5 linked regions of the Ovis aries genome follow. The protein of the gene in region 1 interacts with the protein of each later gene in a biochemical or structural test. Links are inferred from orthologs where the notes say so. Each region holds a gene or a part of one and is shown in the gene's direction. Other genes may lie near its edges. The genes, in order: PPARG, HDAC3, TRIM24, NCOA4 and NR0B1.

Region 1 (6,762 bases):
CAGTGTGGGATTTTTCCCACTCCTGTGGGAAAGACAGACGGGCGTCATGACGTGTGATCGTGAGGAATGGGAGGAGTCCGAGGAGTCCCAGAGACAGCGTGAACGGAGATGAGCGGGGCAGAGTGTCTGCCCTGGGCGCACGGTGTGAGGCGCCCAAGCATGTGGCTGCTGAGGACGGGGGTGAGGTCCGGGAGCCCAAGTGGAAAACGGCACTGAAGAAGTCGGACTATCGGGGCGCTTGCATGACAGATGAAGACTTCTAAATTTATTGCACGTCGATCAGTGCTCCCCCTGCTTTTGCGGCAGATTGCCCTTAGGAGAAGAGGACAACAAAGTTAGCCATCTTGGGGAAGGAAGGGATGTATCGGTGGAGCACAAGGGGCGTTTAGGGCAAGGAAATGTAGGCTTCTCTGATGGTGAATCCGGGACGCCATACGTTCGTCAGAGCCATAGAATGGTCCACACAGAAGAGCGAACCCGAGGGTAAACTGGATTTTAGTTAGTGATGTATCACTGTTGGTTCATCAGTTTTGTAACAAGCAATACCACACTAACGCAAGGGTTAATAACAGGGGAAATGTCAATTATTAATAGGGGAAACTATGTGTTTCAGGGTTTGGTGGGGAGGGAGAAAGAGGAAGGAGTATAGGAGAACTTTCTGCTCAGTATTTAAGTAAACCTAGAGCTGCTTTTTAAAATAAAGTCTATTCTCTTGGGGACTTCCCTGGCAGTCCAGGGGTGAAGACTTCACCTTCCAATGCAGGGGGGCGTGAGTTCAATCCCCTGGTCTGAGAGGTAAGATCCCACATGCCTTGTGGCCAGAAAACCAAGACATGAAACAGAAGCAGTATTGTAACACATTCAATAGAGACTTAGAAAATGGTTCATATTAAAAAAAAAAAAAGCTTAAAAAAATACAGTCTGTTTTAAAAAAAATTAGTGTTCTTCTAGCTGTAGCTGAAATGTACTACAAGTATAAAGTTGTTTAGGAGTTTCAGAGTCATCTCTTTAAAATCAGATGAATTTTTCATTCTAGTTCTTTACACATAAATAGCTATTTTATCATTAAAATTTTCCACAAAGCTTTTCAATAAAACCAGTGACCCTTAGGGATATGATTCCTGTGTGGAGAAGCCTGATGTTGGTTGGCAGGCAGTCACTGAAGTCATATGTTAAAAGTGAAACAAAATGAAGCCAGTAAAATGATGAGCAAACAACTTTTCTTGCAACCCAGACATGTTTTCCATCCCTATTTTTATTTCCCAGTATTGATACAGCAGCATATTGCGCTGCCTTTAGCTTGGTCAACCTTTACTTTGGTGTTCAGAAGAACTTTGCAGTCAGCGTGCTGAGAAACCAGTCGATAAACCCACAATTGTGGATATTGCAAGAGAGACGAGAGAGGTGTCTTTTCATAGGAAAGCGATTTATTCTAAGAAAAATGGCTGGAGAAAAATAAAGGAAGCAGACTGAGGAGATAGGCAAAGTAAATGGTGTGTCCTGGGTTGAGTAGATTTAGGTGACGTTCAGAACAAAAGATACAGTTCGATGGATGCCCCGTCACTAAGAGCGCACACTGTTTCCTGGATGTCATTGAGACCCAGTGTGAGCTCCGAACTGTCAGCAGCGTAGGGCTTGTACCATAACACAGATAACCTCAGATGGTTTTCGTCCTTATTCATGCAGATATTCAGACGTGCAAACCCACACAGTGCCTGATGAGCCCTCTTGGAGCCACTGAAGCACATTCACAGCGCTCGTCTCCTTATTTGTGTTTTCGAGGCAATTTGTTTTTCTTATGAAGACCACAGCTAGAATCTTTAACCTCTTGCAAGAGTCAGCCTGTGAGAGCTGCATTCTTTAGCTCTCTGCTTGCTGGGAAAAAGCAAGAAGCCCATTCCCAGATACCCTTAGGAAAGTCATCCCACTGTAAGGAGAACAGGGCTGTCTGTAGGACGTTGGTATGGGTCCGCTGTACAAGCTGACACCACTGGAGGGTCCTCGACCATGACGTTCAGGTAATGGGTGACTTCCCTCAGTTAGTTCAGCAACCTGGACGGCACTAGGAGGGTGGTTGTGTTCACTTCTCTCCTCGTGATCACCTAGGTGACATCTTGACCGGAGACTCTTTCTGTATCCTTTCTGTGTGTCGTCACGAGACTGCCCAGTCCTCAGGACTGACGTCACAGCTGGCCTTTTCTCTGTTTCAGAAATTACCATGGTTGACACAGAGATGCCGTTTTGGCCCACCAACTTTGGGATCAGCTCCGTGGACCTTTCTATGATGGATGACCACTCCCATGCCTTTGATATCAAGCCCTTCACCACCGTTGACTTCTCCAGCATTTCCGCTCCGCACTACGAGGACATTCCGTTCCCAAGAGCTGACCCGATGGTTGCAGATTATAAGTATGACCTGAAGCTCCAAGAGTACCAAAGTATGTGGTTTATTTCACTTTTCAGACTGTTGAGACTAGAATTGGACTAATCTCTCGTCCACAGTAGGGTAAATGCTCCCAGGACTAATGGCTGTGGTGAAGACATTTACCATTCATTCATCCATCCACTTGTCCATGAAATACTAAGCGTTTATAACTGACCAAGGGCTTCCCAGGTGGCTCAGATGGTAAAGAATCCACCTGCAATGTAGAAAACCCGGATTCGATCCTTGATTTCCCTGGAGAAGGGAATGGCTACCTACTTACTCCCTTGTTCTTATCTGGAAAATTCCATGGACAGAGGAGCCTGGCAGGCTAAAGTTCTTGGGGAAAAGTGTCGGACTGACACTTTCACTTCCCAGGTGGCTCAGTGGTAAAGAATCTGCCTGCAGTGCAGGAGACGTGGGTCGGGAAGATCCCCTGGAGGAGGAAATGGCAACCCACTCCAGAATTCTTGCCGTGGAGAATCCCATGGACAGAGGAGCCTGGGGGGCTCAGTCCATGTGGTTGAAAAGAGGCATGGCTGTGACTGAGCTGACACACACATGTAAGTGACCAACAAGGCAGGTAGTGTGTGAACACCCTGGATCCTCCTTCCTTTTTCCTCCCTTCCCGCCTCTCTTTCTTTTCTTCTTTCCTTTTCAGGGACAGTCTCCAGCATGATCACCGTGCTAGCTGTATCTCAGGCTAAATATCCGTCCCCAACCCCCCAGATTTTGATTCATTGTTTCTACTTTTAAGCAGATAGGTAACAGTTTATTACCTCCTTTAACTTATTGCTAAATCACTGTTACTATAATGCACCTTTCCTAATTCTGCAGTTTGAACAGCTTACACTGAAACCTATTTTTCAGCACAAATTTGAATATTGACACTGTAGACTATTGATAAATCTCCGTGCCATTAATGCAGCTCACATCAAGAAAAACTAAAACTGCACTTTTCAAGATAAGATAAATTTCTGTGATGCTGTTTCCTTGATTTTTATCTCTTTGCTGATATGCTGGTTTTCCAGAGCAACCACTGTGTAATTGGCAGCCATTACTTGACAAGAAGTAAGAACTTCCTGTATTTCTAGTTTTTTTTTTTTAAGATAAATTATATACTTGGTTATAGTTACATGTGTGATTTCAGTTGAAGCTTAATATGGAAATTTAATAGGCTTGATCCTGACCAGCAGAAAGATAGTGCTTGCTTTCTAAAGTGTCTCTCTCTATCAAAGATCATTTCACAAACCATCTTTTCAGACTCAACATTGATGAGAACCTGGTCTCTTACTTTTCACGTACCCTCAAGCTGGGCATACCATGTCCTTCTCAGTTCTTTTTGTGTTTCCTTTGCAAGAGTGGTTTAAGAACACTTCTAAAAATGCAATATTCAAGCTGAAATATATAATTTAATATTGTCATGAATGCCAGATACAGCCCATAGAAAAATAACCTTCATGATTTCAAATATTATATATTTCCTGTGGGAACTTTAGTATCATGAGGTCTTGGAGGGTCATAGAACCACAGACTTAATTCCCTTCCCAGTTTGTTTTCACAGGTGAGGCTCGGAGGTGTTGTGGCTTGCATGTGATGACGAAGCCCACTTCTCCCTGTGTCTTTTTCATGTTCCATAGTGCATCTAACCTAAACAGTGAAATATGGGTAGGAAGGTGTGCTACAGCGACATGCCCTGTTGCCTGTTTAGCATTGTTATTCCCGTGATGATTGTCTGCTCATGCTTCTCTGTACACAGGTGCAATCAAAGTGGAGCCTGTATCCCCACCTTATTATTCTGAAAAGACTCAGCTGTACAGTAAGCCTCATGAAGAGCCTTCCAACTCCCTCATGGCCATTGAGTGCCGGGTCTGTGGGGATAAAGCATCAGGGTTCCACTATGGAGTTCATGCTTGTGAAGGATGCAAGGTAAAAAAAAAAAAAAAAAAAATCGTTTTTGAAAAAATTTGCTGAAAATGTACCTAGGTTTCCATTTCCTGTTGCAAACAGATGGCAAAGAATTGAGACAGAGCTGTCAAACTTTTAAATATCTTTGGTAAAACCCATTCTTTAGATGATATAATACTTGAAAACCTAAGAAAATCATAAAAAAGCAAGGCTACTGTGCCTCACTTCCTTTTTTCCAAATTAGTCCTGTGCAGTGCTGATCTAATTCCATCTTCGCATTTTGTAGATTACAAAAAAAAAGAAATTGCTGGTTCATAGTAACATGGCAGGAGAGTGATGGGCTGACCCTGAACAGAACCCAGATTTCCTGAATCTCCTAATGTTTTTTCTTTCCACTATACTATGTAATATTCTGTATATGTAGATAGATGGATAACCTTCATTTGAGCCTTACCACAGTCCTAAAGGTTGAACTTATTTATGGCCGCTTTGCAGGTGTAGAAATCTTGTGTCACTGAGATTTTCCTGTGGTCATCCATTGTAAGTGGCACATCCATACACCTTCTGACTCGTAAACTGATGCTGTGTGTTTCCTTATTCAGCATCAGTGTGAGCCATATGTTATGGTCAGGCAAAGAGATACAGCTATTTTTGAAAAGAGATACCCTTTCTCTTCCCCTCCTTTCTTTGTGAAAAAGGCTATTTTGGAAAGTTCACTTAGTATTCATTTAATATTCTGCCCTATTGAGAAAATGTTAATCTACTCATGTTTTAAAATGAAGTCTTTTAAAAGAATTAATTCTAATAGGCTCCTTGAATAAAATAGTAATTGACTAGTATTATATACTCTAGTGCTCAGAATAAATTTTTGATAAGTATTTACCTTATAAAATAATGCTGCTTATATAAGATCAGATTCAACCATCAGTAGGGCTTTTTGTTCAGAATGAAGATACATGACAGCAGTTAGGTAGGTTGGGAGATCTGCATTCCTAACTGGACCATGAGCCAAAAAAGGAAGTTAATATTTACTGAATTTCTGCTATACACCAGATACTGTGTAAGATGCCTTTGTATATATTATATTTTTAACCATATCCTGCCTAAGTTATCACATCTATAACATGATGGTATTGATTCAGATGATCACTAAAGCCTCTTCAATTCAAAAGTTTATTTTTCTAAAGGCAACCTAATAAAGTGAAAGAGACAAGTTAGTAATTACCTGGCCACTTGTCCATGGCCTCTAACCAATCACATGAGGATTTCAGCCTCAGTCACTCATGTATAAAACAATTTGGCTAGAGTAGCTCGCCAAAGGGTTTCTGATTCATCTCTGGGTCTGAAATTCCAAAATGACTCCTGGCAAGAGATGCTTTCATTTAAAACATGAAAACCCATTCATTCAGTGATTGAAACCAAGCTAAAATATCTGTAACCTTATAGGAAATCATTATGTTCTCAAGGAATAGTAAGAACCTGTTATTTTACTCAGTTAGATTTATGTAATTTTGAGGAAATTGTGGCTAAATTCTTAGAAGTACTTGAAGAAATCATCTAGTTTTGATCATCTTGGTAATTTATGTTGATAAATAAAGTATGGTTGGTTAAGTTTCCACTGTATAGTATTGTTTTTTATGGGCTGGTAAAGCAGTTAGAAAACAAAAAGCTTTAAGCAAATAGTTTCACTGTGATTCTATTCATCAGATATTTGTGGAGAGTTAACGTTTCTGAGAACAGCTAAAAATTGAATGGCGATTTAAGGACTAACCAATCAGCCAAAAATTGAAAAGACAGATATTGTGAGCAGTTGCTTGTAGTGTTAAAGCGAAGTTCTAAGGGCATAAAAACTTAGAAGATCAAAGCAAGCAAAGAAGAAAAGTAGCAAAAAGAAGAGAAAATAGGGAGGAGAAAACTCAAGTGCCCTCTAGTTACAAACGGAAATGTGCTAAGGCAGAGACGGAGAATTAACACTTAAAACCTGATGAACCCAGAGGAGCCCTTCACCTACCAGAGACAGACAGGCCAAAGCAGTAGAAGAAAATTAACAGTATAGTAACCTCCAGTGATTTGTAAACCATCCAAAATAAAGATTACAGACTTCCTGAGAAAGGAAATCAACCATGAATATTCATTAGAAGGACTGATGCTGAAGCTGAAGCTCCACTACTTTGGCCGCCTGATGGGAAGAGACAGCTCATGGGGAAGGACCCTGATGCTGGGAAAGATTGAAGAGAAAAGAAGGGGCAACAGAGGATGAGATGGTTGGATGGCATCGCCGACTTAGTGGGCATGAATCTGAGCAAACTCTGAGAGATACTGAAGGACAGGGAAGCCTGGTACACTGCAGTCAATGGGGCTGCAAAGAGTTGGACACGACTTAGTGGCTGGACAGCAGCAACAAGAAGACTAAAATACAGAGAAGGTTATGC
Region 2 (6,238 bases), on another chromosome or scaffold:
CCTTCATACTCCTCAGCTCTTACCATGACTGCCTCCTCCGCAAGCTCAGGTCTCAATTCAGGTGGCCCCTCCTTGGAGAAACCTTCCCTGATCACCCTGTTACCCTGTCACATCACTCTGCTTTTTTCTTTTCAAGCACTGGTTGCTGTTTGAATTTATTGTGGGGTTTTGTTTTGTTTACTGTCTCCCACCTAATCATGCCTACCTCCCAAGAATATGAGCTTGGTGGGATTTCATTTATTTCGTTAGTTCTTTTTCCTGCTGTATCCCCATACCTAGTTCACAGCTTGGCTCATAGTAGGCCCTCCAGGAGTATCTGTTGAATGAATGCAAGCTGCAAGAGACTTAGTGGTTTGAGGGAGTGTGTGGCGGACATACACAGATGGAGTGAGAGGCCCTCAGAGTACATGGTGGGGTTGAAGCAGCTGGCGCCCCCAACCCCTCTCCCCCACAGGTGACATGTATGAAGTTGGAGCAGAGAGTGGCCGCTACTACTGCCTCAACGTACCCCTGCGGGACGGCATTGATGACCAGAGTACGTACTAAAGTCTTCTCCCTGCTCACTAGGCTCCTTCTCTCTCTCCCTCCTTGAGTTAACCTCTTCTGCCTGGTATTGTCTACCGTTGGGCCAGGTGTCCTTCAGGATGAATGGCCTTCAGAGGGACCATGAACTCCCTGGAAATTGTATGCAACATATTGTGTGTATGTGCATTTTTCTGGGAAAAAGGTCATTAGCTTCCATCAGTCCCTCCAGAAGTCTCATGAACTTCCCCACCTAGAAGTTTGGAACCAATAGTGGTCCCTTTGGGTTGCCCCTTTCCTGGGCTACACGCTCTCTGAACCCCCTTTTTCCTTTTGTTCCCTGTCTCCCCATCCCCTTGGGGTGCCAGGTGCCCATCTTTGGCCCTCTCCCAGGTTACAAGCACCTTTTCCAGCCAGTTATCAACCAGGTGGTGGACTTCTACCAACCCACGTGCATTGTGCTCCAGGTAATACTGTCCGTGCTTCCTTAGGCACTCAGGCTTACGGGAAGAGAGCAGGAAAGAGGAGAATCCCTAGGCTGGTGGGGGAAGGGAAGTGAAGGACATCGGTGACATTCTGAGTAGTTCTCTCACTGTAGCCACCTGGGGTTTTGATTTTTGCAGTGTGGAGCTGACTCTCTGGGCTGTGATCGATTGGGCTGCTTCAACCTCAGCATTCGAGGACACGGGTGAGAACTGCTCTCCTTCCACTCTTCCAGGTTTTCAAGTGGCCTTGGGCTTCAATACATGGAACGGGTAGCTGGGAAACAGCCCTCACCTCCTTTTGGGACTGAAAAGTAGCTGCATGTTGTACTTTGAACCAGAAATGTCATCTTGAGCAGTGTTCCCCAGTTGGCAACATTCACATTAGGTTTTTGTTAAGCACCTGTTGTGTTCCAGGCATTGTACTAGGAGATGGGGAAGCAGTCAGGGAACTCCCATGGAGTTTACAGTTCAGCCTAGGAAACAGGCAAAACTATAAGTAAGCAAACAAGATAGGTAGATTGTTATAAATTCTATGGAAGAAAAAGATAGAAAGCTAAGATATGGGATAACAGTGGAGAAACTACTTTAGATACCATGATTTGGAAAGAATTTTCCAAAATTCTGAGCTGAGACCTGAAGCCTAAAAGGAGTGAGCCATAAGAAGAACAGAGAGAGGTCCATCCCAAGCGGTGAGAAGAGTGCATGCAGACACGCTGAGACAGGGCAGAGGGGTATCGTGGAGGAGATGAAGTAAAACCAGTCAGGTGGAACACAGAGAGCAGGCTGGAGGTGGTTTGAGGTGATGTCTGAGAAGTCGGCAGCATTCGGGTCATGCAGAGCCTTTAGACCTTGCTAAGGAGTCTGAATTATATTTCAGATGTGTTGGGAAACTGTTGACAGGTTTTAAGCAGGGAAGTGACATGATCCAGCTTGAATTTTATTTTATTTTATTTTATTTTATTTTATTTTTTCTGGGCTTGAATTTTAAAGTGACTGCTCAAGACTTCCCTGTCAGTTCAGTGGTTAGGACTCTGCACTTCCTCTGCAGGAGGCATGGGCTTGGTCCCTGGTTGGGGAAGTAAGATCTCACATGCCTTGTGGCACCGCCGAAAAAAAACCAACTGCTCTGAGGGCTGAATGGAGAAAGGTTTGGGGTGGGGCTGGGCACACAGGAGTGGAAGTGGGAAGACTAGTTAGGGAGCTCTTGGTGTTGTCTCAGATAGGAGGCTAAGTTGGAGGAGGTGGCGGTAGAGAGAGGTAGGTGATGTGAGTTATATTTTGGTGGCTAAACTGACAGCACTTGCTGGTACATTGGTGAGACTAGTTGATTAACAGGTGGGTTGCTAGGGTGGGTGCTAAGCAGGACAGAGGTGAGAGTGCACTTTGTTTTAAATTTCACTGAGACGCAACGTGCCGGCAATAAAGTGCACATATCTCAGAGATATAACTCAATGATTTTCACTACCAAGGTCAAGATACAGAACATTTCTAGTTTCCTTGTGCCTCTTTCCAGTTGGCCTCTAGAAGTGTGTTCTCTGGCTTTTGGTAACTTCCTCCACCCATTCCTCTGGTTTCTTTTAACAGGGAATGTGTTGAATATGTCAAGAGCTTCAATATCCCTCTACTGGTGCTAGGTGGTGGTGGCTACACTGTCCGGAATGTTGCCCGCTGCTGGTGAGCATGCCCCCATTTTTCCTCCTCTCCCTTGTACAGTGTGAGCTAGGGGCTCTCCCTGAGAGATGGCCAGTGGACCTTTCACCCCACTCACTCAGCCTGCCTTGCTCTGCTGGTTTGTTTCAGGACATATGAGACATCACTGCTGGTAGAAGAGGCCATTAGTGAAGAGCTTCCCTATAGCGGTAAGGACCATCCCACACATGCAAGGGGGACCATGCCCCCACAGCAAGAAGGCCATTCTCACAAGACCATAGAATGGCCTGGTTTGAAAGTGGATGGGAAGTTTGACTTTATCAGAGTTCTGCAAACTAAACCCCTGGGCCTAGAGAGGGGAAAAGGTTGAGCAGATGTTATGTAGGGGTTTTGGATGGAAAGGAAAAAGATAGGCAACTCTTGGGACCTGCCTGTGTCTATTTGAGCCATCATGTCTCCTCCTTTTTCCCCAAGAATACTTCGAGTACTTTGCCCCGGACTTCACGCTCCATCCGGATGTCAGCACCCGCATCGAGAATCAGAATTCACGCCAGGTCAGCAGCTTGGAGAAGCTGAGCACAAGGGTGGAGGAGCCCAGGAAAGGTCCAGGATGTGGGAAATCAGAGAAACCAGGGAAGAGAGTCTCAGCCATCACTATCTCTGTTATCAGCTAGGAGGCAGCCCCGGTGAAAGCACAGGCAGTCAGGGTTGGGAGGAGGGACAGTTACCAGCTGGGGGATTCAAACTAAGATGCAAAATGGGACTGAAACTAGGACTGCAGGGACAAAAGGCAGCTACAAGCATTGACATCCTGGGAGTCACTGGGAGCTGCTCATTGTCTATTCCTCATCCCCAACCAGTATCTGGACCAGATCCGCCAGACAATCTTTGAAAACCTGAAGATGCTGAATCATGCACCTAGCGTCCAGATTCACGATGTGCCGGCAGACCTCCTAACCTACGATAGGACTGATGAGGCTGATGCGGAGGAGAGGGGTCCTGAGGAAAACTACAGCAGGTCTGGAGCAGGGTCATAAGAGCAGGGAATTCCAGCAAGTTTTGGGGGAAGTTAAGAGGGAAAAAGTAAGTTAGACAGCATTAGTCTAATTGTCCTCAGTGTACCTTCTTCAGTATACAACCATCCCATACTTTTTTTTCCCCCCGATTTAATGATGTAAGTGACATACATTTATTGTAAAACTTTTCAGTTCAGTTCAGTCGCTCAGTTGTGTCTGACTCTTTGTGACCCTATGGACTGCAGCACACCAGGCCTCCCTGTCCATCACCAACTCCCGGAGTTTACTCAAACTCATGTCCATTGAGTCGGTGATGCCATCCAACCATCTCATCCTCTGTCATCCCCTTCTCCTCTAGCCTTCAGTCCTTCCCAGCATCAGGGTCTTTTCGAATGAGTCAGCTCTTCACATCAGTTGGCCAAAGTATTGGAGTTTCAGCTTCAACATCAGTCCTTCCAATGAATATTCAGGACTGATTTCCTTTAGGATGGACTGGTTGGATCTCCTTGCAGTCCAAGGGACTCTCAAGACTCTTCTCCAACACCACAGTTCAAAAGTATCAATTCTTCTGCACTCAGCTTTCTTTATAGTCCAACTCTCACATCCATACATGACTACTGGAAAAACCGTAGCCTTGACTAGACGGACCTTTGTTGACAAAATAATGTTTCTGCTTTTTAATATGCTGTCTATGTTGGTCATAACTTTTCTTCCAAGGAGTAAGCGTCTTTTAATTTCATGGCTACAGTCACCATCTGAAGTGATTTTGGAGCCCCCTCAAAAAAAGTCTGTCATTGTTTCCACTGTTTCCCCATGTATTTGCCATGAAGTGATGGGCCTGGATGCCATGATCTTCGTTTTCTGAATGTTGAGCTTTAAGCCAACTTTTTCACTCTCCTCTTTCACTTTCATCAAGAGGCTCTTTAGTTCTTCTTCACTTTCTGCCATCAGGGTGGAGTCATCTGCATGTCTGAAGTTATTGATTCTTCTCCTGGCAATCTTGATTCCAGCTTGTGCTTCATCCAGCCCAGTGTTTCTCACGATGTACTCTGCAGATAAGTAAAATAAGCAGGGTAACAATATACAGCCTTGATGTACTCCTTTCCTGAGTTGGAACCAGTCTGTTGTTCCATGTCCAGTTCTAAGTTTCATGTTCCGTGTCCAGTTCTAAGTCCATGTTCCAGTTTCTGTAGATTACAATTGTGCTGTTCAATATTTATGTATAAACACAAGGGCACACATACACTCATTTTCAGTGTTGTGCAGTTTTGTTTTTTTTTTACTAAAAGTTGGATCATTCTGTACATGTTCTACAATTTCCAAGTTTTTTTTTTAACCAGTGTATCTTTCTGTGCCAATATATATAAAAATCTGCTTCATTATTATTATTTTGCTTCATTATTTAATTAGTTGTATGATATTCCATTGTATGGACATAGCATAATTTAACCAAGTGCTGTTGACAGGCATTTTCATTATTTCCTGTTTTTTTTCACTGTTACAAAGAGTGTAGCAGTGAATCCCTGTAAATATACATCTTTGAGTGCTTGAATGGGTTACTGGACTTGTTGTTGCTAGGTCAAAGGCTGTGTGCAGTAAAGTTTTTTTTATTTGTTGCCAAATTGCCTTTCAGACAGTCTATAACAGTTTATATTCTTGCCAGCATTTTACTGACTCCTTCCAGATTCCAAGCTGGACAGGTCACTGCACATATACTGCTGTTGTAAGGCCCGTAGATTTCTTTCCTCTCTTAATTTTTTCAGGTGTGATAGTTGTATTGTGTGTATGTGTGTCTTTTTAAATATCTTTACCTTCCTGAGATACCTATTAAAATATTTACAGATGCACTGAATTAGAGGAAAAAACAACCAGAATAGACTTTAAAAAAACCACAAAAGCTGAAACAAGCTTTTCTGGAAAAAAGGAAAAAGACAAGAGAACCCAGAAGTGCAGAAACAGATGTATTTAATAGAGAACAGATTTCCTTATGTGACTGGGGATAACCACAGCTGGATGTTTGCAGGACACCTGGTCCTGCTCCCACACACTGTTAAGAAGTCTGAATTGACTCTGCTGCAGAGTCTGATGAGCTTCTCAGTCCTTTCCAGAATTTTCTCTCTGTCTTAATAGTTCACACTTCCAGATCTCTCTGCTGGACCTGGGCTTTACAGCTTAGACTCTTGGGACCACTCCACCCCTCCTCCTCCATGTGTACCCCTTCATTTCCTCTCTTGGTTGAGGATGTATCTGAACATCTGGCCTCAGGGATCCTTTTTGACCCCTCATCTCCATCTCAGCTTCTCCAGTTCTTTGAGGTTTGACTTTTGGAAATTGATCTTAAAAATTTGTTTTTCAGTTTCTTCCTTTTGGAAAAGTTTGTTTTTTTCATCTGTGATTTCAGGCTGGTATCTGGGCCTTGTCTCTGCATTATACAGCTTGTTCTCAACAGCCAGCAGAAGCCTCTGGCCTCTTCCTGTCTTAAGCCCTGTTACTGTTGGACTACCCACTGACTTCCTTGTCGTTGATACTTGTAGCATATCAGCTATATAGGATATGATATTTATA
Region 3 (6,238 bases), on another chromosome or scaffold:
AAGGTGACTCCTCAGCACAGTTTAGAAGTACGTATTTATTGATTGATAAACATAGCCAGCAGCTGGTATCATACATATTCTCATCTATATAACTAAAAAGAAGCATCTTAATACAAAGCATGTATATAACTATCTCTTACCCTACTCTACCCTCCACCACATATATAGCTATACAGAGAATCTATCACAGCTTTATATCCACAGTAACAGTCATGTTGACTTATATGTACTTATAAGCATATCACTTAAAACATAGTCCACATGATGTAGACATAGGTAAAATTAAGAAAATATGTAACTGTACGCACATAAGTGAATATAGTTTAGGTAAATCTGAATCAGCAAAAACAAAAACACCTCCTGTTTGTGAGGAATTTGTAAGACAGTATCCTTTACTGTAGGACTTTTCAGAGGTGTCATATATAGCTCTATAAATTGTCGTTTAAAGTGAGATTGACGTTTTAAATCTTCTAAGAAGGATACAACTTTCCCAAACTTGTTTATTTATGGCTTCTGAGAAACATGTTACAGAAGAGTGCAAGGGAAAAGTAGTGTCTTGGACGCATATTCAGTTTAGTGTCTTTGTGACTTTGGATAAGTTGTTTGGCCTCTCTGAACCTTAGATCCCTTATCTGTACGAAGGATTTTAACAATATACATAGATCTCCTATCATGGTACCTAATGTGGAGTAAGTATTTAATGAATGATAACCATATCTTTAAGGATGCATATGCTTAGTAAATCAGGAACTTTTAACTGAGTCTCTGCTATTGAAGAAATCAAGCTTTGCCCTACTCTTGGACCAGACCTGTGAGAGGTACCTTTAATCTCTTTTTTAACAGTGTAGTTATAAAGCATGGTGTTCGCCATCAGAGAACTAACACAATTTGCGCCATGAAGGTGTAAAGAACTAGCTGTTGTTGTCATTCAATTGCTACATCATAGAGAGATAACTGAGTCAGTAATACTCTGTGGTATTGTTCTCACATCCAGTGAGAACAGTCAGGTTTGCGTGTTTTGTTTTGATTATACAATAGCAGTTCTCACAGTGTAGTCTGAAGCTTCTTCAGGTGATAAAAGGTCTCCCTTTTCCAAGTACATACCCATATGTGGCTGGGTTTTCTGCATGTATTTCTATTTAAACAATATATTAGATAATGCAGAAACAGTTACCGCTATTAAGCCAGACATTTTAAAGAACTGTTTGAAAATGTAAAATAGTGCCATTCTTCACTAAACTTTTTTGAAAATAAAAATAAGGTTTTGTGTGTGTGTGTGTGTGTTTTTTCCATAAAAATATGTTACTCTTGGTTGTCACTTTTAAATGAATTAGTATGGAAAAATGTTTTTTAATTCTCATTTCTAATTTTGAATAAGGTAGATTTTGTTTGATAGACCCTACATAAACAGAAACTCTTCGGAGTTTCTATCTTTAAGCGTGTAAAGGGTTCCTAAGACAAAAAGAAGTTCCTTGGAAATCCTGAAAATGAGCAAAGATAGCCTTTTACAAAATATGGTATGTTACTATCAGAAAATCTTCAGAACTTAACTTTTTCTCTTTGATTAGGTTCTTTAGTAATTGAAGATAAAGAGAGTCAACCACAAATGCCTAAGCAGAATCCTGTCGTGGAACAGAATTCACAGCCACCAGGTGGTTTATCTTCAAACCAGTTATCCAAGTTTCCAACCCAGATCAGCCTAGCTCAGTTACGACTCCAGCATATGCAGCAACAGGTAATGGCTCAGAGGCAACAGGTGCAACGGAGGCCAGCACCTGTGGGTTTACCAAACCCTAGAATGCAGGGGCCCATCCAGCAACCTTCCATCTCTCACCAGGTAAATTTGGAAGCAGGCCTGTCCTAACTTAGATAATTATAGTACAGTTGTATTCAGCAGCTCCTAAAATAACCAAGGTGTCCTTCCTCCATGATTTAAATATATGAATTTATAAAAATTTGTCTCATCAAGGGTCCCTAATTTAACTCTAGTTCTTAGCCCTTCTGGAAAAGAAATTAATGGTTTATTCAGCTGGGACATCTATTCTCATCTGCTTTTTGTCATCTTTGTAACAGAGGATAAATGATTGCATTCCTGAATAACCCATGCATATGATTGGTGGGAAAGTTGTGTACCTGTAACTCAGAATTGTTACATTAGTGCTTCAGGATGACTGATGCTTCAGGTATCTGTCCTCTATGAAGATGCAGCATTTAGAAAACCCACTGCATCTAGAAACTAGGACAGAATGAAATAGAAAAGGGAAAGGGTGTGGTTTGTTAGAAGTCTGCCTTTTTCAAACTTTATTTCTGAGCAAATGTTCCAGGCACCATTCTTTTTTTTTTTTTTTTTTCAGTGTTGTCATCTTTTTATTTGTATTATTTCTTAATTCATAACAAAGATTTCAGTCACTGGTGGAGAAATGGGAAAAGCATGTGTTTATTTTCTACTTATCTCTCTAAAGGGTTTGAAGAACATACGCATGTAAATTCTACTTGTGATGTAGAGTGGGTGGAGGAGTCTAGACATGTGTTCATATAGTCATAAACTCAACAGTACTAACAATACAGTAACAACTTCAGAGCATGAATCAAAATCATGATCCTGTGGATTAATTACCGTGCATTAGTTAAGAACAAACAGTTGCAATATTAGTATACATTTCTGCTGTTGTTATAGAAGAAGCTTCTATCCACTCCATTTAGAGCAAGTCTCTTTTTATCCCCCCATGCACCATTCTTATTTTAATGCACAAAAATTGTCTCTTTTTTCAGTTCCTTTTATTTATTAATTTATACTCCCTATTTCTCAGAATTTGAACTGATTTACAGTAAGTGACTCAAATGAAATGGCACAGGGATTAATAAGTATTAGTAATGTTCAAAGCATGCAGAACTAGACTAAGAATTCTCATGCTTGAGAACAGGACTTAGCTCAGTTTTTGATCAACCAAACAAAGAATCAGGAATAATATCTATTACTTGATTAAAAGGAAACATATCATTAGAGAAATTTTTTACCAGTGTTTTTTTAGCACTAAGAGGAATGCATACATAATGCAGTTCTTTTATGAAAAAGCAATTAAATGGCATAATAGCATGTTTTGGTAGTGGTTATACAAGACTCTTCATAGGAGACTTGCTTCAACCCTGAATAAGACTTATGGGCCTGTGTGAATCCTGATTTTGTTAAATTGCTTCTGTGTAGGCCTGAGGTGATTTTATTTGTGATTTATGGCTGTCTGGTAATTTGATTAAGAAGATATGTCAAATCCAAGAGAATATTAATTAGTATGACCAGTTGATTATTGCTCTCGAACTTTGTTTTAACCCAGGTTTTTAAAGGAAGTAAATAGCAAGCAATTTAAGAGGTCTTTGTTTGATGAGTGTTCTGTGAGAAAAGATGTATACACTTTCGATCCCAGGAGTGCCACTGGCAGAGTTGAAATTTTGTTAAGAATATGGAGGAATTCTTTTGTCACTCCCCACCCAGACTGCAGAGTAACATATTGCAGATAGACTGCAGAGCACCCAAATTGTTTTGGACATATATTTGATGAGGAAAAGAGAGAAAATACTTACTGAGTGACTAGTGCTAAGCATTTACATGATTAATATTTATCTTAAGTATTTGAAAGATGGTAAAGTGATTTTTATTACTTTACTAACCTGAAGCAGGATAAATCCATCATTTGCATTAATTCCCTTTTCATTGAAAAGTGAGGAACTGAGGCAGTTAATAGATTCTGTGTGACTCAGTCACATTCTCAGAAACAGCTGTTTATAGAAGCAGTAACCAAACAGAAGTAACCTTGATAGAGCCTTTAGCCTGCTTATCTCAGAAATTTATATTTGATCTTATTATTTCTTTCTGTGGTGTACTGCTGTATGATATATATATATGTATATATATAAATAATGTACAATCTTTGTTATACAGCCTAATTTTCCCACTTACCGACACATTTGACCCTTGAACAATTAATTCAGGGGTTAGAAGCACTGACCCTCCATATAGTTGAAAATCCACATATGACTTATAGTCAGCCACCCCCCGCCACCCACCATGGCTCCTCCACATCCACTGCTCTGCATCTGAGGATTCAACTAAACACAGATTGTGCAGTACTGAAGTATTCACCATTGAGAAAAATCCTTGTCTAAGTGGACCTGCAGTCTAAACCCATGTTAGAATATCAACTGTAATTTTCTCATCTTTATGTCATTACTTCGCACACTGCTCTTTTTCTGTCTCCTCTCAGTGACCCCTGAACCCTCTTCTAGTACTCTCATCTCTCATTTTTATCTTCTCTCTACCAAATATCTGCTCCTACATTTTTCACTCAACAGTGTTTTCCCTCTTCTTTAAACTTTTGCACTGCCCTGCTTACCTGCTTTCTTAGTTCTCTAGCAGTTTATTTGCATGTACATCTGGTAAAATATCTGTCTGTAGATAGGTGTATATGTGTGCCTCTTTGTCGTACTCTACCTGTAGCCTGAAGATACAGGTCAATTTAAACGCCTGCTCTAAAAATCGCTTACACAGTAGTTCCCTGTTTCTTCTTTCTCTGAAAGTAGCCATGTAATCTGAATGATTAAAGAGCTGGGTGATACACAGATAGACTACATAGTTACATGACTGTGTGGTACAAACTAATAAACACTCTGCATCTCTTTATTGAGTGGTATACAATATACTCTGTCGTACTGCAGTGGACAGCTCGAAGTTTGTTAAATCTAAGTCTGTTATTGTATACTTTATGGTTCTCACTCCTGGGCCAGATTTACTGTTCTGCAGAGATACTCTCATTTATATGTATATATTAATTTTCCTAAACAGTGAGTGGATGTTAGAAGGACATCTGCTATCCTTCATGGTTATACTGACCTAGAATAAAATTACCACCTATAATAAAGTATTTACAGTGAGGGTAAGGATAATGATGAATATATGTCTCTTTACTTAAGCTCTCAATTATTTCTCTATTCTCTCCCTTTTTTCCTTCTTGCAAGTTAATTCCATTTAATTAAAATAGCATTGGTTTTGCTATTTCTCTTATGTTCATAAATAGTTTCTAGTCCTGTTCTTTCAAGTTACTTTTCCTGTCATGGGGTTCTTAGAAATTAACTCAGTCAACAATAACAGTTTAGGAGAGGAGATAAAAATCAATCACCTTAGATCTTTCTACACTAGGATTCCTTGATGGGCGAGTGAACATCCAGTTCCACACTGATTTCTTACAGGAGTATAGTACACTGGCATCAAATGTCACTTCGTTTTTTTCTTTTTTCCCTGAATGTCGTTTCTTGACTGAATCAATATATAAATTCCAGTCAGGGCAGGAGTAGGCGAAAGTTTTGACTGCCTTTGTTCTCCCTTAAGGATCATTTTGAGTGTTTTTCCACTTTTTAAAAAATAGTCTTTTGGATGAATTTAGAAGTTTTCCACTATACTTCCCCAATTACTTTTTGTTTGTGTTTCTGTGATATAAAACCCTTCCAGTGAAAAACTTTAATAGAAGAACCAAAAAGAATTGCTATGGCTTCAGGCTTCTGTGAAATTTTGGCATTTTCTCTTTTTCTCATATTTTTCTATTCATCCACAGAATTTCCTTTGATCTAGAAATAGTGTCTAAGTCTACTTTTCATGAGGTCTGTAATTGCTGGTCACTCTTGTAAGTTACTAAGTGTGAACCCAGTGCCAGCTAATTTGCAGGAGAGGAGAAACAGAAGACCTTTTCCCAGGAAAGGAGATAAATTCCAAAAATGAGAGAAAGGAAAGAACAAAAAGAGGGCAGGGCTACACTTTATAGCTGTCCGCCTTAAGACGTTGCTACTTCAGCTTTATAAGCTCATTTATTTGTTCCCCCCCCACCACCACTTTGAATATGGGGGTTAATAGTTCCCCTTTCTGAGAAGTTCTGGTCATATACAGTTAACAAAGCCTGAAAATAAGTATTTACTTTGCAATAATTTGCCAACCTTTTGTGGAACTTTGGTAACCAAGGTTACCTTTTTTGTGGAACACTGGTGTCAATTTCTAAGGATAGCATTTGTGAGCAAACTAAGCTTGTCCTTACCCTGTCCTGTAATCAACCAATGCTGTCCTTGAAGGGTTTCCTTTAAAAATCTGTTTTCTTTTAGAGAAACTCATCCTCTAAACTGTGATTAGTACCTCAACCCCCAGTTAAACACCAGAACATGTTTGACTAATGCAATGGCAGACTAGTGTTGAATTAAA
Region 4 (5,528 bases), on another chromosome or scaffold:
ACTGTCTTTCCTGTCATGAAGCACTAATACAGATCAGATAAAAACCTAATCTCAAGTGCTGTTTGCTGTTTGTTAGCTTGGATACACTTGGTGCTTTTCGTATCATTGTGGCTCTATGATTTCATTTTTCTTCTAGTTGCTGGGCCAGTTCAATTGTCTTATTCATCAGCTGGAGTGCACCCAAAACAAAGACCTAGCCAATCAAGTCTCAGCTTGCCTGGAGAGGTAAAGACCCTTCTTGTGTGTTTTGATTTTGGCCCTTTGACTTTGGTGTATTAAAAAGTCACTTTGTAACTCTTTGCATGACTTGGATTTAACTTAGTGTTAAACTTAACGTTTGTTTGATAATATCATCTTGCTTTAAATATTTAATATCATACTTGGTGGTACATGGTTAAGTCATCTATCTTTGGTTGAGTTACTCAACCAAACTTCAAATAATTCACAATTTGGTTTTTATTTTGGATGAATTTGAAATAGATATTTCTTTAAAATAGCCAGATTTTGTTTACTTTTTTCTCCAGATTGGGCAGTCTGACCCTCAAACCTGAAGATTCAACTGCTTTATTCTTTGAAGCCGACATAACTGCCCTGCGCCAGGCAATCACCACATTTGGGTCTCTCAAGACCATTGTAAGTAAATGTTCATCTCAGAAGGTTCATAGTGAGCTTCTCAGGTCTGTGGCCCGTCACATGGTCTTAAAAATAGCACATTGTCACTATGAAAAGGGACTTTCTTGAGAATTTGGTAAGCTTTAGAAACTCAATATTCTGATTGCATTTATAGAGCCTTAGGCTGGTAGTGCTTGGAATGTATTATTGACTGGTTGATTGTCTCTGGAATTCCTCTTTGTACCTCTAAATACCTTTGACTTATTTCTTAGGAAATTTATGGCTTGAATGGTCTGTATAGAGTCAGATGTCGTCTCATTTGGGTCTTGTTAGTAGTTGTAGTACCACCAGCTCTGGTGAAGGTTTCTTCTGTGAAGGTAGTTATGTGGTAGATAGAGGATTCTCAGATTCTATAACTACTTCGTAGGTCACTGAATCTAGTGTGAGGAAGATTTATTCTCGTGAACTGTAACACTTTGCTTAGTACTTTTGGAATTTAGGGATTACAAGTTCACTTTTTTGGTCTGAAAGCATAACATTAGTAAACACAACTGATTTGCTTTTTATCTTATAGCAAATTCCTGAGCACCTGGTGGCTCATGCTAGCTCATCAAGCATTGGGTCCTTCTTGGAGAAGAGAGGCTACATCCCATTGCCAGAGCAGGTAAAATGTCATTTTGTTTCTGGTAACTGAGTATTATTTGGCTTGTATTTCTTTGGGGTTTTGATTATATCACTTTTTTTTTTTTTTTGGCTATCATTTATTTGTAAAAAGGCACAAATGGTAATAAATGAGTTTATACAGTTAAACGCTTCCCTTGAGACTGAATGTCAGAAATTTAGAGGTTTTAGACATGTTCTGTAAGAAAGTAATTGTTATCAGTTAGTTCATAAGAAATTATCATTAGCTCTATGATTGGGTTGGTTCTCTTAGGGATCCTTCTCTTGATCATTTACTTCTGAAGGCAGTGTGAGAAGTGTGAATATAGCATCCTAAAAGTTTTGAGTTGAGAAGCTGATTTCCAGCTGTACTCTTTGATTTGTAATTGTGAAAATGGAGGCTTAGGGGAATCATTTGACTTGTGCAGGGTCAGCACTGGGCCAAGATTAAAGAGCTTGGGTCTCCTGTTTTTCTGGCAAACTTTCTGCTGCATTTGACATTGCCTTGTTAAGCAGCAAAGTATTGTGTGATTAGCAGAAGTCGGCATCCAGCGCCACAGCTGTCCCTCTCAGTGAATGGCTCCTTGGAAGCAAACCTGCCGTCGGTCACCAGGCTCCTTACCTGCCCAGCACCAATCTCCAGGACTGGCTCAGCCAGAAGCAGACCGTGGAGAACAGTCAGGTGTGTTGCTGCCCCTGTTGGTTCTGAGATAGATGATGTAATAGATGGGGTTAGTTACTAACTGACAGCATGTCTTTGGTTTTTAGTTCTAGTCTGGGAAACATATATTTTAAAGATAACATTTTATTACAATAGTGACAACCTCTTCACTGTAGAGAAAAAGCTTAGGAAAAAACTATATAAAGAAATACAAGCTCATAACCCCGCGTGCAGAAACTACCACTGTAACATTTCGTTTATGCTACATATACGTGCATGAATATCTGTCACTTAATTTCTTCCATAAAATCCCTCATAGTATATAGTATTTCATTGATGGGCTAAAACTTCAGGTTTTCTGAATATAAATAAATTTCTTTTGCGTGTCCAGGAGATAATCATTTCTATGCATTCTTGATTAGTTCTTTAGGAATGAATTCTTAGAAATTGCATTCTATAGTTCTGCAGACCCTTTAAGGCTTTCAGTACACACTGTCAGTTTGGGTTTCCAGAAAGTCCATACCAGTTTATATACCCTCTTCCCTAAACATCTCTAACAGTGGCAGTCATTTACAAGTTTTTCTCTGAATTTAACACAAAAGAATAATTTTACTTTTTGAGTTTCTTAGGTTACTAAGGAGATTGAGTATTTTTCATTTTTATTAGCTAACTTTGATGACTTCTCTAATCATATTATGACTCATTTTGGTCTTTATTCATAAATGCACATGTAGAAACTACTTGTCTCTTTTCTACAAGATGTGCTATAAATGCTTTCTCCTAGTTTGCCTTTTTTTTTAAACTGCAGAAAATTTAAGTTTTAATATAATTATGTATTTTAATATCTCAGAGAAATCCCATGTCTTTTGGCTATGTATACTTAAACTTAGAAACATTTTGTAGTGTGGTAAATATAAGTAGAACTCTTATCATTGAATTTCAAGGCAGTCATAATATTCTAGCAAAGTAATATTGTGTATTTTTTGTGTAGACGTCTGCTAGAGCCTGCAGTTTCTTGAATAAAGTCTGGGGCAACCTAAAGGGTTTGGAAAACTGGCTCCACAAGAGTCAGCAACAAGAAGTTTCTGAAAAACCAAGCTACCAAAGGTCTAACAGCTGTTCTACTGCCAGTTCTTACTCCGTGGAAATCGAAGTGGTTGAAGATACAGAGCCTCTTGATCAAGATGAGATGGATCTTTCTGACTGGCTGGTAACTCCCCAGGAATCCCATAAGCTTGAGAAGCCCGAGAATGGCGGCTGTGAAACCACCAGTGAGAAGTTTAAGCTCTTGTTCCAGGTGTTCCAGGAGTCCTACAATGTGAATGATTGGCTTGTCAGGTCCGATTCCTGTACCTGTTGTCAGGGTAACCAGCCCAAAGGTGTGGAGATTGAGAACCTGGGCAGTCTGAAATGCCTCAACGACCACTTGGAGGCCAAGAAACCCTTGTCCACTCCCAGCCTGACTATTGAGGATTGGCTTGTCCAGAACCATCAAGACCCATATAAAGTAGAGGAGGTCTGCAAAGCCAATGAGCCCTGTACAAGTTTTGCAGAGTGTGTATGTGATGAAAATTGTGAGAAGGAAGCTCTGTGTAAATGGCTTCTGAAGAAAGAAGGAAAGGATAAAAATGGTATGCCTGTGGAACCAAAGCCTGGACCTGAGAAACGTAAAGATTCCCTGGACATGTGGCTCTCTCCATCCAGAAGAGAGGCAGCAGAGCAAGCTAAGGCACCCAAGGCAAGGGCTTCTAGAATTGCTGATTCCTTCCAAGTCATAAGGGACACTCCCTTGTCAGAGTGGCTCATGACCCCCTCACACAAAGAAGGATGTCCCAACAAGGAAGTGCCTCTTACTGAGGACAGGGCTGGCAAACAAAAGCCTACAAGCCCCTTGGCCACTGCCTGGTGTCCCTTTAACACAGCTGACTGGGTCTTGCCAGGAAAGAAGACAGGAAATCTTAGCCAGTTATCCTCAGGAGAGGACAAGTGGCTACTTCGAAAGAAGGCCAAGGTGAGCCAAGACATTAAAAAAGCACCACTTGAAGTATATTCAGTAGATTTTTATTTTCTTAATCCCAAACCTTGCATTTTCTTAATCCCAAACTTTGCATTTTCTTAATCCCAAACCTTGCAAATAAATGGACCAGATCCTTAACTATCTTAACTGTTAAATGCAGCTTAAGTATTAATTTTGGGGCCATGTTAGCAACGGAATGGAACACTTAATGATTATTCATACTGAAGCTTGTATTTTCTATGCCCCAAATCCGCATCTGGCCTATTTTATTGCAGTTTACGGAAAAATTAGGAGCAGAGAAAATAGTTGTCACTTTGCTCTGTTACTAGCACGCCCAGCGTTCGCATCACTCTTTATAGACACTAGACTGGAAGATGACTTGTTGGCATCACGCCTCCCAGCTGTCATGGAGCAACCCACCCTCTGTCTTGTTGCAGGAAGTGTTACTCAGCTCACCCCTACAGGAGGAGCACAGCTTTCCCCCGGACCGGTACGGCCTCCCAGCAGTTTGCGATCTCTTTGCCTGTATGCAGCTCAAAGTTGATAAAGAACAGTGGTTGTATCGAACTCCTCTACAGGTCGGTATATGCCGCTAGTGCAAATGCTGCAGCTCTAGCTGCTTATGGCTTGTCTTATGTATGAATTCAGTTTGCTCACCAAAGTGTATTTCTGTTAGTGGTTTGTGTATTAGGTGAGGTGGGAAAAGAGAGATCATAGAAACTTCGTGTTTCACTTGAACTTGCTCCATGAAATAACTGGGACATACTTGAAAGTAACCTTTCCAGATGATGTAGCTGTCAGAATTTTTGGAGCCTGTGTGGTTTCTAATAGCTTATTGAGAAATGAGAGCTTTAAAGTGGGAAGACATTTGCTTTTAATCTTACAGTGAAGTGACTTTTTATGTGGACTTTTTTTTACAGATGTGAAGGAATCGAGTACTAGTCAATCAAATTTTCTGCAGATTATCACAAATCCATGAGCTGAGTGACTGTGGCTTGCGAAATCATTGTCTCTGGGTCTGATGTAGTTCCTTTCCTCCCCAGTCTCGAACTAGTGAAGAGAAATTAGTCATCAAATTATGAATTACTGTGGAAAAGAAAAAGGTGATTTGTTGATGCTGAGGTGATTCAGGTTCTTTCTTACAGAAGTATTAATTCACCCCTATGCTAGAAATGCATCTTGGTGGGTAGGTCTTTCTCATAAGCCTCCATGGCTCCTTAGATTGGGTGGTTATTAGAAGTACATTAAAACACTGTAGTTTTGAAAATGAAATAGTTCTATAATCAAAGTGTGTTGATGTATTCTAAAGCTAGTAAAATTACCTTTCAATTGGCAGTCTTTGGATGCTTCCCTTATCCTGGGTTTTCTTCCATTAATGGTGAATTTTCTATTTAATTAATATTCTATTGCATTTTACATCATTAACCTTGCCAATATAGTGGTTTTTTCTTACCAAAACACATATTGAAAGTCTTGGCAATTTTTGACATTTATTACAAAACATTTTAGCTTAGGTGCCAGATTCTACATTTCTTCTTTGGAAAGACATTCAGATTTTGCAAGATCTGTCTGTATTTC
Region 5 (6,757 bases), on another chromosome or scaffold:
ATTACTGTATGATCCAGCAATCCCACTCTTGGGCACATATCCAGACAAAACTATAATTCAAACAGATACAGCAACCCTATGTTCATAATCAGCACTATTTATAACAGCCAAGACATAGAAGCAACCTAAGTGTCTATCAACAGAGGAATGGATAAAGAAGATGTGGTATATATATATACATTGGAATACTACTCAACCAATAAAAAGAACAAAATAATGGCATTTGCAGCAACGTGGAGGGACCTAGAGATTGTCACACAGAGGGATTCCGACAGAGAAAGACAAATACCATGTGATACCACTTGCATGTAGAACCTCGAATATGACACAAATGGACATATCTCTGAAACGGAAACAGAATCACGAACATAGAGACTAGACTGGTGGCTGCCAAGTGGGAGGAAACGGGGAGGGAAGGATTGGGAGTTTGTGATTAACAGATGCAAACCATTATACATGGAATGGATCAACAACAAGGCCCTACTGTAGAGCACAGGGAACTGTATTCAGCATCTTCTGACAAACTACAATGGAAGAGAATGTGAAAAAGAAATGATATATACACACACATACAAATATATGAGTCACTTTGCTGTACAGCAGTAATTAACATAACACTGGAAATCAACTATACTTGAATAAAGTGTTTTTTTTGTTTTGTTTTGTTTTTTTTTTTACAATTTTAAGAAGGCCTCCAGAAAGCTCTAAGTCCAGTGGGGCTACTCCTAACCTTTCCTCCCTCCAGGCTGAGTGCAGCCACAGTTGTGTGGGAATGCTTGCCCTCTGTGTTGAGAATAGGAGCTGCAGCCTTCTCCTTGTTCTCTCAAGATACAGTTGGCCAACACATATAATTTCAAGCACCTACTGTCTGCCAGACATTCTAGTTGCTGGGATACAGTGTGGCTGACTCCTTTCCCTCAAGGGAGCTTCATACTAGTTGAGGGAGGCAATCAACAAGCATCAAATAACTAAATCAATCAATCACATCCAATTTTGATCACCATTAGGAAGAAAATAAAATAGAACACCATAAAAAGTAACTAGCATTGGTAATGTAAGGAGGGGACGGAAGCAGGCTGGGTTATTCAGAGAGGCTGGTTGGCACATTCGCCAGGCAGGAAGATCCCTGAAACAGCAGTAACAATACCCCAAACAGTAACCTGAATATTGGAAACACGTGATGAGCTAATATTTCCAATATATGTTATTGTGGTGGACCAGGTGATCCACCCAGTGTTTTGAATCTGGGCCAAGAAATGTGGACAGGCAGAAAAGGAGATAATCTCAGGGTTCAGGGTAAGGGTGGGCTTCCCTGGGACAGAGAGAATAAGGATGGCACTGGGATGGTATTACCTCTTAACCCTAAAGAAGTGAAGTGAAAGTCATTCAGTTGTGTCTGACTCTTTGCTACTCCATGGACTATAGTCCATGGAATTCTCCAGGCCAGAATACTGGAGTGGGTAGCCTTTCCCTTCTCCAGGGGATCTTCCCAACCCAGGGATCAAACCCAGGTCTCCTACATTGCAGGCAGATTCTTTACCATCTGAGCCACCAGGGAAATTGCCTTAAGTCAACTAAATTGGTGGTAATTTGTTTCAGCAGCAGTAGGAAACTAATACATCACCCAAGGCCACCAGAGCTTCAGAGTGGCAGGGCCAGAGTTAAAATCAAGGCTATCTGGTGCCAGTGTGAAGATTTAAGCACTGTGTTATATGGCTGCTCACAGGCAGAATAAAATTTCAGGTTGAATGCAAAATCAGTGTCCCCGAGCTTTTCCTCTTATGCTCAGAATTCCACATCTCAGAGAAACTAAAACCAACCAACCAACCAAACACACACACAGAGAGAGAGACAGACACAGAGAGAGAAACATGGGATCCAATATTCACCTGTCCCCTTGCTTCATGTTTTCAGTCATGGACCCAAGAGATCACTAAACAAACTTCCCATTTCAGTGATAAGGAATTTGAGGACTAAGAGATTGTGATTTCAAGTTAACCAGATGGCTGGTGAAGCAATCAGGGGGCAGGTGGTGATGTGGGGCTGCACATCCCATTGCCTCTAAGGAGCTCGAGCAGAGGCCAATGGCAAGTGAGGACCAAAGGATCCAGGCTTCCTGTGTTTCTCATTATTTGCTCAGAAAAGGTGGGAGGAGAAATGTGCATCGCACATCTACCCAATATCACTAGAAGAACTCAAAGTTCTCTCTGTAGCAACTTTTTAGCCCCTTTTGATTATTATATTCCAGAATATTAGCCACTTTTATACCCTGGTCACGTGGTCCCCAGCTAACACAACAGCTACGACTGAGTGGGAGCTCATGAATATTACTTGAATTGAACAAGAAGCTTATGATAGCATTCTTAGACCAGTGCTTTTTCAGAATTTAACAGGCCCACAAATCCTTTGAGAATCTTGTTAAAATGCACATTCAGAGTCAGACAGTCTGGTTGGGGCCTGAGATTGGGCATTTCTACCAAGTTCTCCTATGACGCTGATACTACTGGTCCATGGTCTGTATTTTTCCAAGTCCCTGAAAATAAGACCTCCCTATCCATAAACAAAATGTAAGTCATGCAAAGTTTGGTCATTTAATGTAAGTTTGCAAAGAAGGCATGGAAATAGATTTTTGCCCTTTTTGATAACCCTGCCCTCCCAGTAAAGGGAGTCAATGAGACGCCAGAGTTCAATGGAGAGTTGGAAGCGTGCCCCCAATACCTGCTCCCTGCGCTCAGCTGTCTTCCAGAGGCGGGGAAGCGTGTAGTGAGACGAAGGGGGGAAGTGTCCAGGAGCGCCCACGCCTCCTCTCCTCTTCCATTTTTAGCCTGTGAGGTGCATCTGTCCCCTCTGAACCGCCGAGGTCACAAGCGAACACACCCAGCACCGCGCCCCGCTCCGCGCCTTTGCCCGGGCGGAGACGGCCGATGCGCGTGCGTGCGCGCTCAGTATAAATAGATCGCAGGCGGCGGCCACTGGACAGAGCCAGGCTGCGGGCACCGCGGGCCATGGCGGGCGAGGACCACCAGTGGCAGGGCAGCATCCTGTACAACATGCTCATGAGCGCCAAGCAAGTGCAAGCGACCCCGGAGCCGCCCAAGGCACGGGTGGGGGCCGCGTGCTGGGGCTGCTCCTGTGGCTCTGAGCCCCCGGTGGGCAGAGAGGGACTGACCGGTGCGCCGGCCACGGTGCTCCTGTACCGCTGCTGCTTTTGCGGGGAAGACCACCCGCGGCAGGGCAGCATCCTCTACAACCTGCTCATGAACGCCAAGCAAGCGCAGGAGACTCCGGAGGCGCCCGAGGAAGGACTGGGGGCCGCGTGCTGGGGCTGCTCCTGTGGCTCTGAGCCCCCGGCGGGCAGAGAGGGGCTGACGGGTGTGCGGACCACGGTGCTCCTGTACCGCTGCTGCTTCTGCGGGGAAGACCACCCGCGGCAGGGCAGCATTCTGTACAGCTTGCTCACCAGCGCCAAGCAGACGCACGTGGCGCCTGAAGCTTCCGAGGCGCAGCCGGGGGGCGCATGGTGGGACCGCTCTTACAGCGCGCGGAGGCTAGGGGGCCGAGAGGAACTGCGGGGCGGGCAGGCGGGTGCGCTCCCGTGCCTCTGCTGCTTTTGCGGTGAAGACCACCCGCGGCTGGGCAGCCTCCCCTGCCACGTGCCCTCGGGCGCCAAGCCGACGGACTTGGCTAGAGAGGTACCGCCGGGGACCCCCTGGTGGGACCCCGCGCGCGGCGTGCGGCGGCGGGTGACCCTCAAGAGCCCACAGGTGGTCTGCGAGGCCGCGTCGGCGGGGCTGTTGAAGACGCTGCGTTTCGTCAAGTACTTGCCCTGCTTCCAGGTGCTCCCCCTGGACCAGCAGCTAGTGCTGTTGCGCAGCTGCTGGGCGCCGCTGCTCATGCTGGAGCTGGCCCAGGACCGCCTGAACTTTGAGACGGTGGAGACCTCTGAGCCCAGCCTGCTGCAGAGCATCCTCGCCACCAGGCGGCGGGAGACCGCGGGCAACGAGCCGCCGCCCCAACCCCCACTGCTGCCGCACTCGGTCTTGCCGCTGGAGGCCGAGTATTTGCCCTCGGCCGCCGAGGTCCAAACTATCAAGGGCTTCCTTGCCAAGTGCCGGAGCCTGGATATAACTACCAAGGAGTACGCCTACCTCAAGGGGACCGTACTCTTCAACCCGGGTAAGGGCGCCGGCCTCGGCTCTGGCTTTTCTCCGCAGTACCGACCCCGGGGCGCAGACACTCGAAGAGTTTTCAGTTAGAGGAGTTTGAGGGTGCACAAGTGAGGAATCCTGGCTAACTCAGCAGAGATAGGGGAGTTCCGGAAACCCATTCCTCGTGAGGGGCAGGGAGTGGTGGCTTCAGAAACCCCGCCGAGAGGAGGAGGAGGGGGGCTGTTTGCTAAGGTTTGTACTTGATCTCTCACATCTTTTTGTTACCACAGAAAAGTTTGTGGCTTGGGGAACTTGGCTATATTCCTTGTCAAATCTTCTAAATCCACTAGCGTACTTTTAAAAAAGAAAATAAAGTTTGGGTTCGCTGCAAATTCTGCAACGTCTGTTTGTGAAACTCAACTCTGAAATTTACCAGAGGCTTTTTTTGTCGGCCGAAGGCTGTTAAGGCTGGCAAGAAAAGAAACATTTGTTAAGGATCCGTAGAGAGACCATCCATCCCCTGGGGGGTACTGGCAGGAAGAACACTGGACTCGGTGTTTCGTGGGTCTGCCTCTGAGTGGTCATTTTAATGGTCCTAAGTAGTTGAACTATCTCATCGTCTAAATGTGACAGGTTAGCAAAGGGATAGGAAAAAGACATGTTCAGGACTGCAAGCAGGAGCGCTGTTTTAGAGCCTTTAGATACCTTGTGGCTGGTTAGTCACTAAGTCATTCGGACTCTTGCAACCTGCCAGGCTCCTCTGTCCATGGGATTTCCCAGGCCAGAATACTGGAGGGGGTTGCCATCTCTTTCTCTTAGATATCCTAGAGACCTTGTCAACCCCCTGGGCCTCTCCCTCTTCCTCCATCCCTTTGGCAGATAAGGTAGTCTAGTTGCAAGCGACCTTACTCCAAAGTAAATGGCCACTGAGTTGTGGCACGTGAGTCTCCTGGGCCCAAGGGGATGTCCACTGCCCCACACTTTCAGGGTGCCTGTTGGGTGCTGAACACTGCCCTGCTAAGCACAACCAAATCATCCAAGAACATCTCCCTGGACAGCCCAGCACTTTGTCTCGAGTGTGTCCTACTACTGGAGTCATCTTGGACCAGCATCCTTCCAAGAGGGTCGTGGGTGGGCAGGAAATTTTCAGATAGCTTTCACCATGCTCCCACTACATCCTTTATCCTGACACCAGGCGTCTTGCTGTCATGCCCTTGGGGTTATGTCCTTGCTTCCTACCTAGCATGTTTGCAGTGGTCAAGAACAGTATTTAATGGGATGATAATTCAGACCTCACGTTTCAGGACTTAGAGACCTCAGCTTATCCCAGTGATCATTATAGTTTACCTTTTGCTTATACCAGTTTTCCAAACTTGCCTGTGCTCTTGGGGGTGGGGGTCATCCAAAATCTTTCCAGGTTCTTCCTCTGGAAGTTCTGATTCAGTAGCTCTGGTCCAAGGTTTGCAAATGTGCATCCATAGTAATGCATTCTCACGTGGTTCTTAAGATCGTTGGGAAGACTGTTTTCTTGCTCCTTCAGGCATTTTATTAGACATCTACCATGTGCTTTGTTCTGCTGGAATAAAAAGGTAAGACAAGCCCTAAGCTTTTAGAAGTTTACATCCCACTGGCTTACCTTTTCCTCCACCCTGTTTTGCATCCCTTACTCTTCCCCTGCTTTTCTGAATTCTCTCTCAAAGGAGTCTAATCCACCCAAGTTGGGTATGCTTTAAATACAAATATACTTTATCTGGGAAAAAGTACTGCCTGCTAAGTGTGTGGCCTTTCTTTGGTGTTTATCATTTTGTATCCCCTGATCTTTATGTTTAAAAATGTCCCTCCCCCCTCCCATGGAATCCATCAATCTGCCTTTCTCTTTCCTCAAATTAATTTCAAGGCAGGTCTTGGTGGGGCAGTGGGGGCAGGGTCGAGGGGGGAGGGCACTTTTAGAGGAGGATGGAGAAAGAGGAGTGTGGTATGAAAGCAGAGAAGAGTAGAGTTCACAAGATGAAGTTTTAATAAACCATGAATTTAGACCTGGTGGAGCTTCCAACCACCACCCTTTGGTGGTTTCATGCAAGCTTCTTCTGAAGCTAGAGGAACCCAGTGGGCTACAGTCCACGGGGTTGCAAGAGAGTCGGACATGACTTAGCAACTAAACAACAAAACAACGTGAATGGAATCCCAGTGCAGTAAAATTGGGTCTCAAGCCTGGATAATGAACTGTAGGTAGTAGGGGATGGTAATGCATGGACTGGGGTAATCAGAATAGGAATATGGATTATAGATGTTGTGCTATTTTTGTTCTCATCGATCAGATTTGATACTTGCCTATAATAGAAATAACTTGCCTATTGCCAGTATTTTTTCTAAAAGAACACTGGCTGGTTCTGTTACTCTGACAATGAGCATGATGCTTTTAAAATACTTTTCTATTGGATTCATAGAAAATCGGAAGGAAAATGATTACAATAATCAACACCATTTAAACTGAATGGTAAATTGGTACTTAAATACAAGTTAGAGAGTTTACAGTAATAGTCCAGTAATATCACCATTGTGTAGGATCAAAGGACTTTTAAAAGCAGCCTCCTCTTACCACCCTCTTT

Evidence for each region.
Region 2: the proteins of PPARG (region 1) and HDAC3 form a complex in vitro, tested with the Homo sapiens proteins (3 studies listed by BioGRID, with this or other methods). The link is inferred for Ovis aries from reciprocal best matches to the Homo sapiens genes PPARG and HDAC3.
Region 3: the proteins of PPARG (region 1) and TRIM24 interact in a test that uses a peptide from one of them, tested with the Homo sapiens proteins (2 studies listed by BioGRID). The link is inferred for Ovis aries from reciprocal best matches to the Homo sapiens genes PPARG and TRIM24.
Region 4: the proteins of PPARG (region 1) and NCOA4 form a complex in vitro, tested with the Homo sapiens proteins (2 studies listed by BioGRID, with this or other methods). The link is inferred for Ovis aries from reciprocal best matches to the Homo sapiens genes PPARG and NCOA4.
Region 5: the proteins of PPARG (region 1) and NR0B1 form a complex in vitro, tested with the Homo sapiens proteins (2 studies listed by BioGRID, with this or other methods). The link is inferred for Ovis aries from reciprocal best matches to the Homo sapiens genes PPARG and NR0B1.

Annotation. Positions count from the first base shown.
Region 1 is NC_056072.1:56,682,660-56,689,421, reverse strand, and holds the start of PPARG (peroxisome proliferator-activated receptor gamma), read left to right. Parts: upstream 1-2,218; coding exon 2,219-2,438; intron 2,439-4,181; coding exon 4,182-4,351; intron 4,352-6,762. UniProt on the Homo sapiens protein: Nuclear receptor that binds peroxisome proliferators such as hypolipidemic drugs and fatty acids.
Region 2 is NC_056058.1:50,375,386-50,381,623, reverse strand, and holds part of HDAC3 (histone deacetylase 3), read left to right. Parts: intron 1-454; coding exon 455-535; intron 536-915; coding exon 916-989; intron 990-1,145; coding exon 1,146-1,210; intron 1,211-2,591; coding exon 2,592-2,681; intron 2,682-2,807; coding exon 2,808-2,866; intron 2,867-3,131; coding exon 3,132-3,211; intron 3,212-3,517; coding exon 3,518-3,675; intron 3,676-6,238. UniProt on the Homo sapiens protein: Histone deacetylase that catalyzes the deacetylation of lysine residues on the N-terminal part of the core histones (H2A, H2B, H3 and H4), and some other non-histone substrates.
Region 3 is NC_056057.1:103,689,789-103,696,026, forward strand, and holds part of TRIM24 (transcription intermediary factor 1-alpha), read left to right. Parts: intron 1-1,568; coding exon 1,569-1,837; intron 1,838-6,238. UniProt on the Homo sapiens protein: Transcriptional coactivator that interacts with numerous nuclear receptors and coactivators and modulates the transcription of target genes.
Region 4 is NC_056078.1:43,007,727-43,013,254, reverse strand, and holds part of NCOA4 (nuclear receptor coactivator 4), read left to right. Parts: exon of another isoform or gene 1-136; coding exon 137-225; exon of another isoform or gene 226-524; coding exon 525-633; exon of another isoform or gene 634-1,186; coding exon 1,187-1,276; exon of another isoform or gene 1,277-1,810; coding exon 1,811-1,954; exon of another isoform or gene 1,955-2,924; coding exon 2,925-3,944; exon of another isoform or gene 3,945-4,387; coding exon 4,388-4,546; 3' UTR 4,547-4,870; coding exon of another isoform or gene 4,871-4,876; 3' UTR 4,877-5,528. UniProt on the Homo sapiens protein: Cargo receptor for the autophagic turnover of the iron-binding ferritin complex, playing a central role in iron homeostasis. Acts as an adapter for delivery of ferritin to lysosomes and autophagic degradation of ferritin, a process named ferritinophagy.
Region 5 is NC_056080.1:29,502,389-29,509,145, reverse strand, and holds the start of NR0B1 (nuclear receptor subfamily 0 group B member 1), read left to right. Parts: upstream 1-2,978; 5' UTR 2,979-3,005; coding exon 3,006-4,176; intron 4,177-6,757. UniProt on the Homo sapiens protein: Nuclear receptor that lacks a DNA-binding domain and acts as a corepressor that inhibits the transcriptional activity of other nuclear receptors through heterodimeric interactions.